2 linked regions of the Caenorhabditis elegans genome follow. The protein of the gene in region 1 interacts with the protein of each later gene in a pairwise test. Each region holds a gene or a part of one and is shown on either strand. Other genes may lie near its edges.

What was found.
Region 2: the proteins of npp-8 (region 1) and clc-1 interact in a two-hybrid assay, tested with the Caenorhabditis elegans proteins (one study listed by BioGRID).

The regions. Positions count from the first base shown.
Region 1 is NC_003282.8:1,592,553-1,597,625, reverse strand, and holds the start of npp-8 (Nucleoporin_N domain-containing protein), read left to right. Parts: upstream 1-1,801; 5' UTR 1,802-1,820; coding exon 1,821-2,055; intron 2,056-2,114; coding exon 2,115-2,211; intron 2,212-2,257; coding exon 2,258-2,459; intron 2,460-3,671; coding exon 3,672-4,229; intron 4,230-5,073. Other genes in the region: ced-2 (Cell death abnormality protein 2), read right to left, coding at 1-306.
Region 2 is NC_003284.9:11,045,745-11,049,910, reverse strand, and holds clc-1 (Claudin), read right to left. Parts: upstream 2,466-4,166; 5' UTR 2,302-2,465; intron 1,676-2,301; 5' UTR 1,669-1,675; coding exon 1,581-1,668; intron 1,530-1,580; coding exon 1,405-1,529; intron 1,360-1,404; coding exon 1,268-1,359; intron 1,221-1,267; coding exon 1,079-1,220; intron 843-1,078; coding exon 741-842; 3' UTR 636-740; downstream 1-635.

The sequences.
Region 1 (5,073 bases):
TCGCATTTTAAAATGATTCAACAACGCCGGAATGTCTGGAAACGACTGATTCGCGATTTTCACGCCAGCTGCAGCAGTTCCATCTTCTTTCGGTTCTCCTCTTTCAATCAAATAATGACAAACGGCATTTCCCTCGTCGGCTTCACGTACTGTCAGTGAATATTCACCGGGGCGTGAGCTATCCCGCATTAGGAAGGTGCCGATCGATACTTGTGGCTCGCCGAGCAACTTGTGAGCCTCTTCACGGCTCATTCCTGGGAAGTAGAATGAACGCCACTCGAATGGATCGAACCCGTTTGTCGTCATTTCTGAAAATGCGGGAAATTGTTTAGAAACGTGGAATTTTTAGGCGCGCAAAATTGGTCAAAGTTGGGAAAATTTTCTGGAAAACGTAACCCAAATAGACGGAAAATCATCAAAAATCACGAGAAATTCCTAAAAATCCAGAAAAAAAAGACGAAAAATCAAGAAAAATTATATAAAAGGGGAAAGTTTTTTCGGCTGAAAAATGCTTAAAATCTTGTTTTTGAGAGCGAAAATTTATGAAAATCGGCCAAAAATCACCATCTTTGAGAAGAAAACGCAAAAATCTTCAAAAAAAAAATCAAGAATTTCGTGGGAAAAAATATTTTAAAATGAATAAAAATATGATTTTCAACCTAAACATTGCTGAAAATGTGAAAAAACGGGTGAAAATTCGATTTTTTAAAGGAAAACGAGTCAATATAGGCAGAAAATTGGATGAAAAAGTTGGAAATTGAATAATAATTAGCGTGATTTTCCAAGAAAATCAAGGAATTTCCATTTAAAAAATTCAGGAAATGAACAAAAATGGATGTTTTTTTGGCTGAAAAAATGCTGAAAATCAGTTAAAAATCGGCCAAAACTTGCGTGGAAAAATCAAAAAATCAGGAATTTCGTTGGAAAAGTACCTTAAAATGGCAAAAAATAAGATTTTAAAGAAAGAAATTGCTGAAAATCGTGGTTTTGGCACAGAAAATCTAGTAATTCTAGTGAAAATTTCTGAAAAATAAATGAACATTGGAGAAAATGGTACTTTTAGGAAGAAAAATCGATTGGACACAGTGAAAATTTTCAAATTTTGGTAGGAAATGGCGAGTTTTAGGGAAAAAGAGGGCAAAATAGTTGAGTTTTTCGGCTAAATTATGGGAAAAATGAAGAATTTTTTTGAAAAACTGTGTTAAAAAATTGGAAAACATGGCGAAATCGAGAATTTCGAGCAGAATAAGCAGGTTTTTAGGCTAAAGTTCGGTTTTTAGTAGAAGAAAATTGAAAAATACGCTTAAAACCTTTATTTTCGAATATATTTCATACTAAATTTACCGATTTCTTGTTTTTATACGCATTGAAACACCAATTATTCGTAAAAATGAGGAAATTGATGAGCAATTTTCCCAGGCAATGACTCATAAGCTTCTTGTCGACTGGAGCCAAAGTTTACACATTTTAAATACGTATTTTACGATGCGCAACCGCAAAAAATCAAGAAAATCTCCGAAAACTGGTGAGAAATTGCAAACAAACGACTTTTTTTGCACGCAAAAATAAATTGTCAGCTGTTGCGCTTGTCCGAGAGGAGTACACGATGAGGTGTGCGGGGGACTTGCAACACGCGACCCCGCCCACTTTTCCGCGCCGCATTGCAATTTGAATTCGGAATTTTGCGCGAAAAGTTGCGTTTTGCGGGAAGTTTTCCGGGTTTTTTACAGTTTTTTGCTATAATTTTCAAGTTTAAAGGTTAAAATATCAAAAATCACTCAAAATTTTCCGACTTTTTCAGCAGCTTTCCATCCTCCGAGATGAGTGTCTCGTTTATGGAGTTGGGCTCGGCCGACTCGGCAGAAGCGGCGGCGAACAAGGTGGCACACCACGTCGAGCAGATGATGGAGACATCGGATTTCTTCGATCGCCTCACACAACACGGCACGACGCCCGTCTCCGGTCTCGGCGAGAAGTTTTATGTGAAGGGAGCGCCGGAGTTTGTGAGCACACGGCGAATCCCAATACCCGGAGAGCTTCAAATGCAAATGAGCAGTGAGAGAGCATTGTTTCCGATGGGGGGGTTTTTCAGCGAAAAATTGGTGAATTTTCAGATATTCACAGCGAGTTTAGCATGGGATTCTTCACACAAATCAGCCGAGTTTGGGTCGTCATTGATAACAATCTCTATATGTGGAATTACGAGACAAAGTAAGCGGAAAAGCCGAAAAATACCGAAAAAAAATCGAATTTTCAGCGACGATTTGGCGTTTTTCGACTCATCAGACGCTGCAATTCTGAAGGTGTCGCTGGTGAACATCAAGCCAGGCGTTTTTGAGCCGGAAATTCAATATGGGCTCGTTGTCGGCACAATTTCCGATATATGTCTTTATCCGGTCTTTGATTTCGTGGAAAATGGCGCCAGTAGCATTTCTATCGACTCAAAACGATGCTTCAAGGTTCGAAATTCGAGTGAAAATGGAGAAAAAAGAAGGAAGAATTACCAAGAAAACCCAAGTTTTTGAATCAAAAATCGCAAAAGTTTGGAGATTTTGAGTCTTCAAAACACGGGAAAATCGATGTTCCGTGCGATTTTTACTTAAAAATCGACAAAAAAAATTTAAACAACGGGATTTTTCGTCTATTTCTAGCTCAAATTTGCTGATAACGCTTTTCTGTTTTTTTTTCTACTCGAAAACTTGAAAATCCGAGTTTCTGACTAATTTTTTGAGTCTTCAAAGCAATTTTACATCAAAAATGCTCATTTCAAACCAAAAATTGGGGATTTCGATAATCTTCAATTTTTATTCGTTTTTTTTAGAACAATTTGTCGTTGAAAACGCTCATTTCAAGCCGAATTTTCGAAAATATGTGTTGTTTTATGCGAAAATCTCCAATTTTTCATTTATTTTCCGATAAAAAAAGCTCATTTTAAGCCTAAATTTTCCCAAAAATTGAGCTTTTCAACAATTTCTCTAGAAAATCGCAAATTTCCATTAAAAAGCTCAATTTTTTTTGCGAGAATTTTTCAAAAATGAGCTAAAATTTCGAAAATAACAGTAATTTTCGACGAGAAACTTCAATATAACACAAAAACGGTATTTTCAAGCCAAATTTTTTTCTAAAAAATTTAAAATTTTGAAAATAAACACAGTTTTTTGCGGAAATCTTCAATTTTTCATTAATTTTTCTGAAAAAAAAGCTCATTTTAAGCCAAAATTTTCCTTAAAAATCTGAAATTTCCAGCACTTTACTATAATTCCAGTACATAAAAACGCTCCTTTTAAGTCTATTTTTTTTCTAAAATTGAGCTCAAATTTTATTTTTTCACATAATTTCCAGAAAAATCTTCCATTTTCAGCAATTTCTCTAGAAAATCGTCAAATTTTTATGTTGTATCTGGCAAATCCCCATTAAAAAGCTCAATTTTAAGCCAAAATTGTTCTGAAATGAGCGAAAATTTTGAAAATATCACTAGTTTTAGACGATACTCTTTATTTTTTTTAAATATATTTTCTGAAAACGAAACCCATTTCAAGCCAAAATTATCATAAAAATCCCCAAATCGTCAATTTTTATATGAATTTCATCGCAATTTTACATTGGAAAACACTCCAAAAATTGAGCTTTTTCAGCAATTTCTCTAGAAAATCCCCAATTTTTTTTTTCAGATAGCCCTTGACGGAGCAACAGTGAATGATATTTCGTATACTTCAAATGGTCGAGTATTCTATACAGCCGACGATCAACTCTTCGAATTCGTCTACGAGAAACAAAACGGATGGTTTGGCTCCACAAATCACAAGTGTCGAGGTGTAAATCAAACTGCATCAATTCTCGGAACACTGATCTCTCTACCATTCTTCGGCTCTTCAAAAGAGCCCCTCGATCAGATTACAATCGATAAATCCCGAAATATCATGTATTTGCTCGGCCGAGCCGGCACCGTCAGTGTCTGGGATCTCGGAGCGGATGGAGCAGCTTGTGCCAAATTTTTGAGTGTTCCCATCTCGAAAATTGCACATGAAGCTCATATTCTGACGCAATTCGGTCACGATGAGACATCTTTTCACAGTATTACATCGATTAAGGCGTTGGAAGCTTCACAATCGGCTGCGCTTAACCTAGTTGCAACTACTGCCAAAGGAGTTCGATTGTACTTTTCAGTGTCGACGGGCCCGCAGTCTACGATGGCTATGTTTAATAATAGTGGAACACCTAATGAAAGAGTTCGTTTTTTAGCCGAAAATTTGGAAAAATCGGGATTTAACAAACAAGAGTAAAAAAAAAGAGTAAAAAAGTTGTATCTAGTTTTTAAACCAATGCTCTCGTCGAAAGTTTTTTACTTTAAAAAAAACCATTAAAAATTAGATATTTTCGAGCTTTCTGGGCAAAAATTGTAAAATTTTCGGCCGAAACCCAGGAAACTGAGCGATTTTTTCAAATTCACTTTTTTTGAAGCTCCAATCAATTTTAGAGCAGAATTTCAAGACTATAAAAAGTTAAAGGTGGAGTACCGAAATTTGAGACTTTCCTTTTTTTAGACCCAAAATAATCCAAAACTACCAAATTTCGTAATGAGACGTTCTGAAAATTTTTCAAAAAAAAAGTTATGGCCGCTCAAAGTTTTCGAAAAAATGGCATATTTTTAGTTAAAGCCCCGAATTTCGGCAACTTCTCGGAGTCGCAGCGGTTGGGGATCTTAATTTTTATTTGATCGTCATCTTTCAATGCATTTTTTGGCATTTTATTACTTGTTATTTCGTTGATTGAGATGGTTTTTTGGCCAATGAGGACGCAAAATTGTATCATATATGCGTCCCTATTGGCCAAAAAACATCTCTGCCAACGAAATTACACGTAATAAAATGCCAAAACGTGCATTAAAGGATGCCAATCAAATAAAAATTAATTAAGTTCTAACCGCTGCAACACCGATAAGTTGCCAAAATTTGAGATTTTAGCTAAAAATAGGCCGTTTTTTCCAAAACTTTGAGCGGCCATAACTTTTTTTTTGAAAAATTTTCAGAACGTCTCTTTACGAAATTTGGTAGTTTTGGGCCATTTTGTGTC
Region 2 (4,166 bases), on another chromosome or scaffold:
TAATTTGACACAAATTTTTAAATATGTTTATTTTAAAAAAATAGTGCAAAATAAAATAAAAACACATTTTTAATAAGCGGAATATGTATATTGTATATAGTCATATATTGAATTGTCAGTCAGTTGCTTTCACAGAAAAAACAACTTTTTAGAATTCATGTCACTATCTAAAGATTTTCACCAATCTTTACTTCTATCAAAATGTTTACAATGACTCACTTTTTCAACCTTTGTTGCACAATACATCTTTCAATTTTTGCTCAAACACTTGGCATTGTTACATTTCATCTAACATATTATGTTCCGAGTTCAACTAATGATCTTTCTCGCTGCGCGCGTTTTTCAAATTCTTAAGAAACTGTGAAATAATTGACTATGTTCTTTGACCGAGCCTCAGTAGTGATGCCTCCCACGCCGCAAACTTGGGAGCAACAAGTCGAAAAAAATCGACAAAAATTGCTCCTGATCTTCGTGACACGTCAGTGTGTCACTAAGAACAGACATATTCACATGTCTTACCACAGTTCAAAAGACCTTTTACAAACACAAAACCGTTACATTTTTTGCCGTCCCCATCTTGCCAGTCTTGTTTGCACTTTTTCAGTGTAGTTCGGCGTTAAATGCGAAAAACCAAGTTCAAAATCTTACAAAGCTTTAACAAATAGATTGGTGCCGACGTCTGGGCTGAGCAGTTTATATCACAGAAAATGCAGGGAAATAATAAATATAATCAAGTTTAATTAACAGCAGTGTTCCCCAAGACACACTGTTAGTGCTCCCAAAATGACATCCGCCGCAGATAAGATGAGGGCTCCAACTGCAAGCCAAAACGAGTATCCAAGCTGAAAAATTAAGTTGTGAGTTTGTACAAACAAAGGTTTATGAGCAGCTTTTGCGCCTTAGGGTATGTGCAGATTGGCCAAAAAGTTGTTCAATGTGAGATAGGGAGGGTTTCTCAAAGCTTTATAATCGGGTTTTAAAGGGTTAGAACATGTGTAAAAAAAGAGTTTTAGTGAAGTTTAATAGTTTCAATCAAATAATTTTACACTTTTTCCCACATTAAGAATAGCATTCTCACCTGCGAGTTTGTATTAATTCCATTTGTAAATTGATTCCATTCAGCTGCATAAACAATAACAGCGATGAGCAGAAGAATAGTAGAGATGACTGCAAAGAGGGTGAGTGGATGGATGATATATTTCTTGCAGCAGCAGGCAAGGCTGAAAGTTGTTTGAATTATATTAATGTCGGCTTTCGCTAATCTAACCATGTCAAAAAGTTGTAGACAACTGCAAAAATTTGGACAATCAAAGAGAGGATCATGCAGACGACGACACATTTCATCCATCCTGGAAGATTCTGAAAACAGTATTTTTGAGCATATAAATAATTTCATCAACATACCGCCCACCAATCCTGACACTGGGTTCCCTGAGAGTGACCAATACATGACCAAGGCATCAAGCCATTCCATTCAGATGTGTTGATATGAGTTATATCTTTCACATTATTTTCAACAGTATTCCAACCTGAGAGTTTGAAAATTCACTTTTTCTAACATCTCCAAAGATGAAACATACTTGGCGTAAACAAAGCAACTGCTGTTAAAATAGCACTACCAGCCATAATAAGTCCATAGAGAATTTGGGTGAGTCCGGAAAGACACATTGTGAACCTGAAACATATGGTTTTAATTTTAATATTTTTTTCAGAAGATTGACGGACAAAAAGTATTAAAAAAGTATGAAAACAATTTCTCCTAAATATGGAAATTTCTATTGACGACAGACAAACACATGGTGGCATCTATGCAACCACCTAGTTACGGAATGAGAATGCACTTCAATGTAAGAATGACGACAGCACAAAATACTAAAATAGCCTGCACATTTGACAACTATACATCTTAACCAAAATATGAAAATGATGAAATAAATGCTCAAAGTGGGCAGAAACAGTGTTTTTCTTATCGCCATTGCCAACTGGGCTGTAAAAGTTTGGGAGGGACACAGGAAGAAGTGATAAAACTAGATGCAAAAAGTCAAAACGGATTTTTTTAATTTTTGAATAGATTTTAGATACTCGGAGAGTGAAAAATAAAACAACAAACGTCGTTTGAAGCATTCAAAATATTTTCACAAAACCTGATGTATCAAGTTACATTACTAAAGGACCAATTTTGGAAGAAAATTTCACAACCCGAACTAGTTTTCAAGAAATAAGGAATGGCAACGTGCTATGTCACACAAACTGGAATGAAAAAAATGCTTCATAGATAAGATTGAACACTCAAATATTTACCTTAAATGTCGATGGGACGGCGTGAACTTGATAGAAAATATGAAAAATGTGTGTTATATACAAGAGTTAGGCTAGTTTTAAAGTAAAGAGGTGGAGAGAAATAAAGCGTTTGCTTGCTCGTATCAGTAGAACTCCTCGACACGTCATGTAACCGTTTTCGGTATGATTCAGTCAAGAGATAGACCAAAAAATAAAGTGTTGATAAGAAACTCAAGTTGGGCGTTGTAGAATTTTGAAAGTTGACATAGAGCCATTTCTTAATTTCTGTTAAAATTCTTTGTGAGTCAGCGAGTTTTGAGCAGATGGAAACGGTGATTAGTTCGTATAATCGTTATCAACTTACAGTCAGATGCTCAAATATTTCGACGAATTTTCCTATCATTTCAGCCAGTATCTTTCGTAGTTTTACAAAAGTGGAGTTTACGGTGAATCACGTATATGCGAACACAAAAGTGACGTGTTTTCATTTTTCAAAAACTTTTGTTTAGTAAGCTTCACTCAAAATGTTTTGAAACAAGCTTCAAACTTTCAAATGATTTTTTTGTGAATATTTAAAAAAAAAACTGATTTATTGGCAAGAAACAGGTGGTTTCAGCTAACTTTCTTTTTACGTCTGGAAATATAAAAAATTCGAAAACATTTTTATTTCGTGGAAATAATAATAACTTTAAATTGTTGGTTTTTTTTTGGTAAAGATTGGAAAATCAAAGCTAATTAATTTTCCAATCAGATCGTTAGCAAATTGTTCAAGATTTTTATCATACATGCCTGAACAATAATATTTACTAGAAGGTTATTTGATGTTTTAAATAACCAAAACAATAATGATAAACGGAATTTATGACTTGACATTTTTCAAAGTGTATCAGGTATGTGAAATAACCGAACCTTTAAAGGTGGAGTAGCACCAGTGGGGATTTCGTCTAAATGCACTTATAATGATCTAAAACAACCGAATATCATAAGAAAAAACTCCAACAAATTTTAGATGTTTTCTAGTTTCCGGTCAAAGTTTTGGCAAGTTGTCAAAATTTTGAAAAAAATGTGAGTTTTGAGGAAATCCATAACTATGTCGAATGTTCCGACTACTACAATATTCTATTACAAATAGTTAAAACAAAGTTACAGTATGATAAAAAATGTAGGAACAAACTTTTTTTGGTCGACTTCCGAAATTAGTTGCAAAAACTGAGTAATTTTCACATTTTGACAGTAAACAAAAAAAAAGTTTTCAAAAAAATTTTGAAACATTTTATTATGCTATTCGGTCATTTTGGAACCATAGGAATAGTTTTTCACTCTTTCCCTACTAGCGCTACTCCACCTTTAGGTTTTTTTGAGTTTGAAGACTACCAATGTCAATCTATAATACAAAAGAAGAATGTTGTCTATTTCAGCATGTTGCAAAAAACGTATGAAACTTGGAACATCGAGAATGCTCACGACACGGGTTCACGACGGGTTCACGACACTAATTGTGGATTTGTTTGTTTTGATGGACTTGAAATAAAACCAAAAAATTGAATTTCACAGTGAAAATTTCTGTAGTTATCAAAAAAACGCTGAAAACTGGACCAAATTATTTTAAAAAATTATAAAAATAAGCAATAGAAGCAACTTGGCAAAAATTAAAGGTTTAGCATAGCTTGGTTTCTCTCGAACGTTCCAATTTCCATAAATCCCTACTGAAAGAGTTTTGCTAATTCAAATTACGAAAATATCATATGTAGTAGATCTGTTCGATTTGGGTTTCCATTAATACAAAGTTCTCAAATTGCTAACTAAAAATGAGTAGGAATGAAAGTAAACAGAGAAACAGTTTCTTGGAACATATCCTCAAAAAACTTAATTTGAACAATTGAAGT